3 linked regions of the Saccharomyces cerevisiae S288C genome follow. The gene in region 2 interacts genetically with the main gene of each other region. Each region holds a gene or a part of one and is shown on either strand. Other genes may lie near its edges. The genes, in order: GDI1, MSO1 and RHO3.

What was found.
Region 1: mutations in MSO1 (region 2) and GDI1 together harm fitness more than expected from each alone (negative genetic interaction), as found in Saccharomyces cerevisiae (2 studies listed by BioGRID).
Region 3: mutations in MSO1 (region 2) and RHO3 together harm fitness more than expected from each alone (negative genetic interaction), as found in Saccharomyces cerevisiae (2 studies listed by BioGRID).

Annotation. Positions count from the first base shown.
Region 1 is NC_001137.3:437,683-441,570, forward strand, and holds GDI1 (Gdi1p), read left to right. Parts: upstream 1-1,933; coding exon 1,934-3,289; downstream 3,290-3,888. Other genes in the region: YER134C (Mg-dependent acid phosphatase), read right to left, coding at 1-121; YER135C (uncharacterized protein), read right to left, coding at 270-662; YER137C (uncharacterized protein), read right to left, coding at 3,691-3,888. UniProt on the Saccharomyces cerevisiae protein: Regulates the GDP/GTP exchange reaction of SEC4 by inhibiting the dissociation of GDP from it, and the subsequent binding of GTP to SEC4. Plays an essential role in the yeast secretory pathway.
Region 2 is NC_001146.8:712,386-715,442, reverse strand, and holds MSO1 (Mso1p), read left to right. Parts: upstream 1-1,787; coding exon 1,788-2,420; downstream 2,421-3,057. Other genes in the region: LYS9 (saccharopine dehydrogenase (NADP+, L-glutamate-forming)), read left to right, coding at 55-1,395; YNR048W (putative aminophospholipid translocase regulatory protein), read right to left, coding at 2,632-3,057. UniProt on the Saccharomyces cerevisiae protein: Involved in secretion. Component of the secretory vesicle docking complex.
Region 3 is NC_001141.2:138,083-141,023, reverse strand, and holds RHO3 (Rho family GTPase RHO3), read right to left. Parts: upstream 1,273-2,941; coding exon 577-1,272; downstream 1-576. Other genes in the region: pheromone-regulated protein PRM5, read left to right, coding at 1-411. UniProt on the Saccharomyces cerevisiae protein: Plays an important role in cell growth. Required to keep the uninucleated state. Modulates morphogenesis during bud growth via directing organization of the actin cytoskeleton and the position of the secretory machinery for exocytosis.

The sequences.
Region 1 (3,888 bases), on a different chromosome or scaffold from region 2:
TGAGAACTTCGCCATTACTACTTTTAACTGGCTTAAAGGGACCGTGCAAATGGGTATCACAATAGCAGGGCCAAATGGTGTAGTCCAAATCGAAGGCGGCCACGTCAGGGTATCCAGTCATAATAAACGCGTTGAGACTATTTTGGAGCAGGATTTGTAACAAAATTGTTCTCTTTGTAAGTTTAAGGACAAAAATGCTTGTTTCTCGAGAAGGTCTCCTTTTCGGCAGGTCCTTCTTCTAGTGCGTGAAAAATATTCTACTCAATCCCTTAGTATTCTTTGTAAACAATACACTTTAAAGAAATATGAATGCTTATCTGCTTTTCAACAATCATTTTAGAGTTCTTATTCACTGAGGTGCGAATGGGTACGAAATTTGTTTCAGGAGAATTTAGCTTGTTGCACACAAATTTCTGCCATTTATATCTGCAAGATCTGTTTCCCTCTTTCCAACTAGCGAGGCATATTAGAAAAAGAGTGAATAGTAACTTGTGTAAGTTTTGATGTAACGGTAGTATAGAGTACCTATAATATTCGCCGATTATATTCTCAAAACTTGTAAATAACGCCATGTCACCGTATGGAGAAAGTGCTAACCAAATTGTAATATCGACCAAGACCTTTTTCTGTGAATTATGTAAGTTTCTTAAAGTCCATGTCATGCTTGAAAGATTTTAATCAACCTTGCATTTGTGGTCGTTAAACTCAAAGGGGATATTCAAACGACAATCGACAACTAACTTCGAATAAACTAAGATTCACTTTATTGGGATATAATCAATTACCCTTCATTAAGTGGTGTATATGTTCCTGACGTATTGTCATTTTCGGGATAAGAGGTTTGATGACTATTTCTCGATTTTCATGTCATCCTCTTTACACCGTACGTGATAATACACTAATTACACGATATAACTGAGCAATGATATTTTAGAGCTTCATCTCCACAATTTCATGTGTAAATCTTAAGAATTGTAGATATATTCTATTTTTTAATGAAACTTTTTCAACAAATTAGGTTTCGTGGTCTAGTCGGTTATGGCATCTGCTTAACACGCAGAACGTCCCCAGTTCGATCCTGGGCGAAATCAATTTTTTTTTTCGAAAACGTTATAATTTACGTTAATTTACAAAGGGCATTCCTTTCATACTAAGCAATGTTTACTTCCAATCTCTTGAGACATCTTCGAAACTAGTTGAAAAGAGACAAATCCGCTTAATAACTAATAGTTACAAGAATGGCCAATCAAACTCTTGCCAAGCGATACAAGCTTTACAATCCTGTAACAAAAACATACTTTTAGCGGTTCCGACGGTATTCTTCTTTTTCTCCATATATTTTGCTTATGTTGGCTACTTTAAAATAATTACCGCTTCCCCCACCAGAAACTAAACATGAGCTAAAGGCGCAAAACTTAAAAAATTACATAGCCAAGACTGTTTTCAAGAAAAAAATATCAGACCACATTTGATAAAGTACATACCTCTGTTAACTCCCGTAATACACCCATATTCTTGTACTTTCTACAATCTATCACTCAAACTTCTCTATTATCCAACATCTGCTGTTGCATAGTAAAGTAGGCCGTAAACGCTCAAAACCGTTATCTTTAGGTTACCCTTATGTTTGAATCGTTTATCTCACATTGGCGGTGTTTTCCCCTCTCCTGTGGGCTCCAAAATCTTGGCCGTGGGAAGCTTCAGCGAGGGATTGTAGATGTAGTTTCAACACGTCGGCTGATTTATCCCGATTTTGTTAGTAGAAAAGGTTCTACTTCATTCTTGCTTGAGACGTCGTCCCATCAAATTTCTAACATAGTCTTTTTTCAAGGAAGGATATTTTTCAAAGCAGGACTGCAATTAGTCTTTTCCTTTTCTTTACTCCCCTTCCATCATAACTGTTAGTGAATAACCACTTATATAGCATAACACAATGGATCAAGAAACAATAGACACTGACTACGACGTGATTGTCTTAGGTACCGGTATTACCGAATGTATCTTATCTGGTTTACTCTCTGTAGATGGAAAAAAGGTATTACATATTGACAAGCAAGACCATTATGGTGGCGAAGCTGCTTCTGTGACCTTATCTCAATTGTATGAAAAATTTAAACAAAATCCGATCAGTAAAGAGGAACGGGAGTCCAAGTTTGGTAAAGATAGAGATTGGAATGTCGACTTAATTCCTAAATTCCTGATGGCCAATGGTGAGCTGACAAATATTTTAATACATACCGATGTGACCAGATATGTCGATTTCAAGCAAGTTTCTGGCTCCTACGTTTTTAAGCAAGGCAAAATTTACAAAGTGCCAGCTAATGAAATAGAAGCCATTTCATCGCCATTGATGGGTATTTTTGAAAAACGTAGAATGAAGAAATTTTTAGAATGGATTAGCTCTTACAAAGAAGATGACTTGTCCACTCATCAAGGATTAGACTTAGACAAGAATACCATGGATGAAGTGTATTATAAATTTGGGTTAGGCAATTCTACCAAAGAATTCATCGGTCATGCAATGGCTTTATGGACCAATGATGACTACTTACAACAACCTGCTAGGCCATCGTTTGAGAGGATTTTGTTATATTGCCAAAGTGTTGCCCGTTACGGTAAATCACCTTATTTGTATCCTATGTATGGGTTAGGCGAACTTCCACAAGGATTTGCTCGTTTGTCGGCTATTTACGGTGGTACTTACATGCTAGACACTCCAATTGATGAAGTATTGTATAAAAAAGACACAGGAAAATTTGAAGGGGTCAAGACTAAGCTGGGAACTTTCAAGGCCCCATTGGTTATTGCTGATCCAACTTATTTTCCCGAAAAATGTAAATCTACTGGTCAAAGAGTTATTAGAGCCATCTGTATTCTTAACCATCCAGTTCCGAACACCAGTAACGCGGATTCTTTACAAATTATTATCCCACAAAGCCAACTGGGAAGGAAAAGCGATATATACGTTGCGATTGTTTCAGATGCGCATAACGTTTGCTCCAAGGGTCACTATTTAGCAATTATTTCTACAATCATTGAAACTGATAAACCACATATAGAATTAGAGCCTGCTTTCAAACTTCTGGGACCAATCGAAGAAAAATTCATGGGAATTGCCGAATTATTTGAACCAAGAGAAGACGGCTCTAAGGATAACATTTACTTATCCAGATCATACGACGCATCCTCTCATTTCGAATCCATGACTGACGATGTTAAAGATATTTACTTCAGAGTAACAGGCCACCCATTAGTTCTAAAACAAAGACAAGAACAAGAAAAGCAGTAAATTCATACCTTTACGACTAAAGCAGCAATTGGAGGGTAAACTTATTTTTTCCGATAATGTTCTTGGCAAATGAGTTACCAATAAATGACATGAATTACAGAAAACAAGAAAATATTTGCCAAAAAAAAACCAATACAAAAATATAGGGGAAAAGATTATCCTTTATTCCTTTCTCATTCCACTTTTTTTTTTTGTTATATGCGTATTCTGATTGATTCATAACTAAGTATCTTTCCTTTTCTTTTCTTTCAATTTCTTTTTTCCATATATAAATACATAAATTTACATACCTTATGTAGTATAATATATGGAAGAATGCTACTGAACACATCAGTACACATGCTATGTACTTACAATCTTAGTAAGGTAGATGTAGGTCTAATGCTTCGATGATCCCTTCATTATTTCTTGGGTATAACTGTCAGTCTCGCACCGCAGTGTGCCCTTGTGTGGCCAGCCTCGTGACAAAATGAACATTTTATCTTATTTTTTTTCTTTTTACTACTCTTTTTGCTGGTTACTCCCTGAATAGTGCTCGTAGTTTTATCTGCCTCTTCCTTGGCTTTAATCGGTATCAGGGCATATTTTTGATCGTCTTT
Region 2 (3,057 bases):
TAGGGAAAACTTATCAGGACAATTGAGTTATATTAACGTATTATATATTTTAATATGGGAAAGAACGTTTTGTTGCTAGGATCTGGTTTTGTTGCACAACCTGTTATCGACACATTGGCTGCTAATGATGACATCAATGTCACTGTCGCATGTAGAACATTAGCCAATGCGCAAGCATTGGCCAAGCCCTCTGGATCCAAGGCTATTTCATTGGATGTTACCGATGACAGTGCCTTAGACAAAGTTCTGGCTGATAACGATGTTGTCATCTCTTTGATTCCATACACCTTCCATCCAAATGTGGTAAAGAGCGCCATCAGAACAAAGACCGATGTCGTCACTTCCTCTTACATCTCACCTGCCTTAAGAGAATTGGAACCAGAAATCGTAAAGGCAGGTATTACAGTTATGAACGAAATTGGGTTGGATCCAGGTATCGACCACTTGTATGCGGTCAAGACTATTGATGAAGTTCACAGAGCTGGTGGTAAGCTAAAGTCATTCTTGTCATACTGTGGTGGTTTACCAGCTCCTGAAGACTCTGATAATCCATTAGGATACAAATTTTCATGGTCCTCCAGAGGTGTGCTACTGGCTTTAAGAAACTCTGCTAAATACTGGAAAGACGGAAAGATTGAAACTGTTTCTTCCGAAGACTTAATGGCCACTGCTAAGCCTTACTTCATCTACCCAGGTTATGCATTCGTTTGCTACCCAAATAGAGACTCTACCCTTTTCAAGGATCTTTATCATATTCCAGAAGCCGAAACGGTCATTAGAGGTACTTTGAGATATCAAGGTTTCCCAGAATTTGTTAAGGCTTTAGTTGACATGGGTATGTTGAAGGATGATGCTAACGAAATCTTCAGCAAGCCAATTGCCTGGAACGAAGCACTAAAACAATATTTAGGTGCCAAGTCTACTTCTAAAGAAGATTTGATTGCTTCCATTGACTCAAAGGCTACTTGGAAAGATGATGAAGATAGAGAAAGAATCCTTTCCGGGTTTGCTTGGTTAGGCTTGTTCTCTGACGCAAAGATCACACCAAGAGGTAATGCTTTAGACACTCTATGTGCACGTTTAGAAGAACTAATGCAATATGAAGACAATGAAAGAGATATGGTTGTACTACAACACAAATTCGGTATTGAATGGGCTGATGGAACTACCGAAACAAGAACATCCACTTTAGTTGACTATGGTAAGGTTGGTGGTTACAGTTCTATGGCCGCTACTGTTGGTTATCCAGTTGCCATTGCAACGAAATTCGTCTTAGATGGTACAATCAAGGGACCAGGCTTACTAGCGCCATACTCACCAGAGATTAATGATCCAATCATGAAAGAACTAAAGGACAAGTACGGCATCTATCTAAAGGAAAAGACAGTGGCTTAAATAAGAAGAAATGTATCAAAAGGTTTATCATACGTAACAGTAACGGCACTTTATAAATCTTTCTTTAGTATTACTTATACTTTCATAAGGAAACGTAAAAAAAAAAAAACCGGAAAGAGGGACAAAATGGACTAGAACGTAATTGAGAGTGTAGTTCCTGAAGCTTGAACCGCTAGTAAGTCGTCTACCTTTAGTCTAAAAAGTATTGGCTATTGCATTTTATAGTCTTGCTTCTGATCAGAACGTATTAAATGAGCTCGTAAAGACTCTTAGGAGTTTTTCACTTTTAGAGATTAATACTATTAGGAAAGGTGCAAAAAAATAAAACGCCAACTAACTATTAGACGCTAGGCCCTAATACCAACTACCAGTATAACTAAGATTTCACGCATATGATGAGTCAAGTATCGCATTCCCAAGAAGGATCCGGGCGATTTTGGAACAAGTTTAAGTCGTCAACCAAATCGTTATCTACATCGTTGGCACATTTATCCATTAAAGCAGAAAAAGATGGTGATACTGTAAATACTACATTGGTCCATAAAGGGCTTGTGAAATTCTATGAAAATCAGCATCCTTTCCAGGGGTTCCCAGGATGGTTGGGGGAGAAGGAAGATTTACCGAACGAACGTAAAATATTAGATACTCAAGTGAAGCATGATATGAAGAAGCAAAACTCGCGTCATTTCTCGCCATCCTTTTCTAACAGAAGGAAGGCTTCTTCAGAAGATCCTATGGGTACACCTTCTTCAAACGGGAACACACCGGAGTACACGCCTGCGAGTAAATCGTTTCAAGATATATACAATAATCATACAAGCTCCTCTAGCGCGACACCGAGAAGAGCTTCATCACGGCCGACTAGACCTTCAGCAGGCCAAGAATTCAGGGCAAGTCTCGGTCGAAGTAAAACGTCGAACAGTTTCAACACCTCCAGCACGCCAACGCCGCCACCAGACGCAAGTAGTGGAGTAATGGCAATGAAGGACAGACTAAAGAGACGCAATAACGATTATGGATTTTAAATAGCACTATACCTTGCTGAAATAAAGCGAAAAGAACATTTAATGAATATATAGGTATCGTATATGTACTGAATAAAGTGTTTGATACAGAATGCAAGGAGATAATATAGTATGGTATATAACCTCGTCCTTATTTTGAATATACATGAAATTACAACGCTTCCCTAGAGACCGAATCAAACGCAGGGATTTTATAGTAAATGATAATCAATCATAAAATTTCTCTCAATGGAATACTAACGACACTACTCTCATCGAATGGGGTATCGCTGTTCTCAAAATTTAGGTAGCTATGATCATGCATAGGTCTTGGTTTGAAGATGACTTTTATCAGGAATAGTATGGCGAAAAGAGTTGCAATCCCGGCAACAATCAAATAAACAATCCCTAATGCCTCGTTTCCAGCACCGATAATACTGTTTGTGGTTAATACAAAAGATTTTGTTCCATAGAAAGATCTTACTGGGTAGTTGAGTTCTATATCAGCAATGTAAATACCCTTACCTAACCCATTGGTCTCATTTTTCATTGCTAGCTTATAGAAGTTGGGCAATGCAGCAGTTCTCATCCATATTTTGAACTGTTCCCAGTTTTGTAGGTCTGGAATGTTATCGTCAGTGTAGCCATTGGGAAATAA
Region 3 (2,941 bases), on a different chromosome or scaffold from region 2:
TTCTCTCTTGCATCCGAATCCAACAGAAATTCACTTTTCATTTCACCAACAGGTGATATCTTATACAAAACAAGGCTATCTAAACTTTACCAAGAAAGCCCTAGATTATTACAGAAACCTGTGATTATGACAAGTGATAATGTATCTACAAATTCTCTGGTGTCTACAATCTCTTCATCATCCGCATCGTCGCTCGATAACGGTAATGAAAAGGAGGTGGGTGAAGACATAAGGAAACCCGCAAAAATTGCATCTTCACCAAGTCGAAAGCTGCTTAATTCACCAGAAAGTGATGGTAGCGTAAATCGTAACCATAGTAAGGGTAATTTGTTGGTCGTACAGTCCAAAAGAAAACCTACACCTTCGACTTATCTCGAGCACATGCTGGAGGGGAAAGAACAGGATGAGTAAAAACTTTTATGATATTTTGCAATATTTTTTTTAAGCAGTGGTAGTAATTACATAAAAAATATAAAATAGTAGGAGTATTATTAACTTCTATAACTTATTATATTATTTGTTTAGTCTCTCTTTTTGGGTTCTATTCTTTTGTGTGTGCGTCCGTGTCTTATTATATTACATAATGGTACAGCTGGATCCACTGTCACTTTTCACTTCGGTTGCTACTGGGCCCGCGGTTAAAGCAACTCTTGCGGCTTCTGTGAAAGCTTCGTTGACACCTTTATTCAGCTTAGCGCTACATTCCAAATAACGTAGCGCACCGATCTTTTTAGCCATAGCTAGACCTTCTTCATAACTTATCAGGTTTTTGCCGTTTGAGGTGCTATTTATGTTATTTCCGTTGTCGTTAGAAACGCTGTTATCCTGTTGGATATTGTTCGGTGTGATTGCGTTAGATTCATTTTCATTGTTTCTTAAGTCACACTTTAGTGCAACTAAGACTAACTTGACGCCTTCACAATGATCAGTGATTTCACCCACCCATTTATTTTGGACATTTTCTAAAGAATCGCGTGAATCAATACTGAAACATAACATTATACATTGCGTATCTGAATAAGACAAGGATCGTAACCTGTCAAATTCCTCTTGGCCCGCAGTATCCCACAACGATAGCGTGATATGTTTACTGTCAACGAAAATATCATGGATATAGTTTTCAAAAACAGTAGGCTCATAAACTTCGGGAAAATAACCTCTGGTGAAAACATTCAGCAACGAAGTTTTACCACAGGCACCGTCGCCCAAAATAACGATCTTTCTTTCGATCGGTTTATTTGACGTTGAAGCTGACCCACATAGAAATGACATGTTTGTTTCCCTTTACCTTGTGCTACTATGGATTTTAATGAAAAACTTGTTGTTATAAAGTAAAAAATGCTGACCAGAGCTAGAGATGAGAACGATAAAAAAACGAAAATCAATGGTTGCCTATTTTCCAGTAAATTCAAAATAATACATGTTTTTTCTTTCTTTTTCTTTTCTTTTTACTGTTTACCAATTTTCAGGAATGTTAAGAAAGATAAAAGAAATATACAAGATGCCATTAACGGGTAATGGCACCAGTATATCTATGACGGGTAATCCTGTTAGTGGATGTCAAAAAACGTTCTTGGGGTTTCCCGGACGCCTTACACTATTTTGTAAAAAAGCTCATCCACACCCCTCTCCTTGTATTTCTTATCTATAATCTACTATTTCTCGCGTAGGTGCGGTAACGCTGTTCCAAGAAAAAAGTTGGCCGACGACTGGTTCTGGGCCGGGCTCGACCGGAAGTGGTAAGTGGCCTCAATTTGAGTTTCGCTTACTCCTTCCATTCTTACAACACACCCGAAGTTTAATTCACGTGACCAGATAAGGGATTTATTATATGTTTATTGTAAAAAAAATAAGGTAGATAGACATATTACATTTCCTCGTGCTTATCGAAGTATTTTTCTTAGACATCTCGCATGACCACAATGCTGGCTCGAAGGCATTTACTCTTTCCTTGGGGAGATGTGCTTACTGTGATTGATTATGTATTCTTGCGTGCATCTGCAAATCTGCGTTGACTAATTTCGGAGTCTTTTAAACACAGAAGCATTACAGGCCCCTCTCCTCACTTGTGCCCAGTATGCAAGTGTGCTTTCCTGTGAAAACTCCTTCATTTTCTTTTCTTACGCATATGCATAGTCGGATTCCAGCTATTTCCATAGTAAAGAAGAAGAAAAAGTAAATACTTCCTTTTCACATGGGCCGGCCGATGCAGGTCCTCAGGTACTTCGTTTATAAGCTTATATAAGCATGCAAAATTAAACGAGGTGGCTGCTTTAAGAGCGTGCAGAATATAGTCACTTACTACCCTAAGTTAGGACTTTGTCTTAGGAACAAACACATCAAAAATGTGCAGAACAACAAGCCCGCGGGGGTTTTTGCGGTTGACTACTCCTGCTTCATGTCTTTTCTCCCCTGCCATTTGTGCTTCTGGATTTGCTTGAAGGTAACCTTAAAGGATCTGCGCATCTTTCTCTTACGAAAACAAGTATAAGATTTTGCCTGGGCAAACTTAAATTACGGAAAAAGGAGTCGTCGAGAATGTTGCCCTTCCACATTTGGATTAGCTGATAAACGTAAATTGGGGGGGGGGGGGGTCGGTTAAATTTTGTCGACGGGAATGGAATTTTCTCTGGTATTTGCCGCAGCTTGCAGATAGTAGAGCCGATCTTGTGAGGTTAACACCGCATATGGCATTCTGTTGCAAAGTTAAAATGCGTCACCCACCCTAGCGCCTAGGGTCGAGTACTGTTTTAAACTTTTTCAAGACCGGGCGTACCATTGTGCTTGTTCCTTACTTCGTTATTTTCTTGCATATTATATTGGTTGAGATTATTTCTATGGACTATATATAAATAAGGGACGGTCGTATTGTTCTTTTATGTCTGCATCCTAAAGAGTATTTTTTTTTATAGTCTTGTTTTCTTGTTCAAATTAAAGAAAG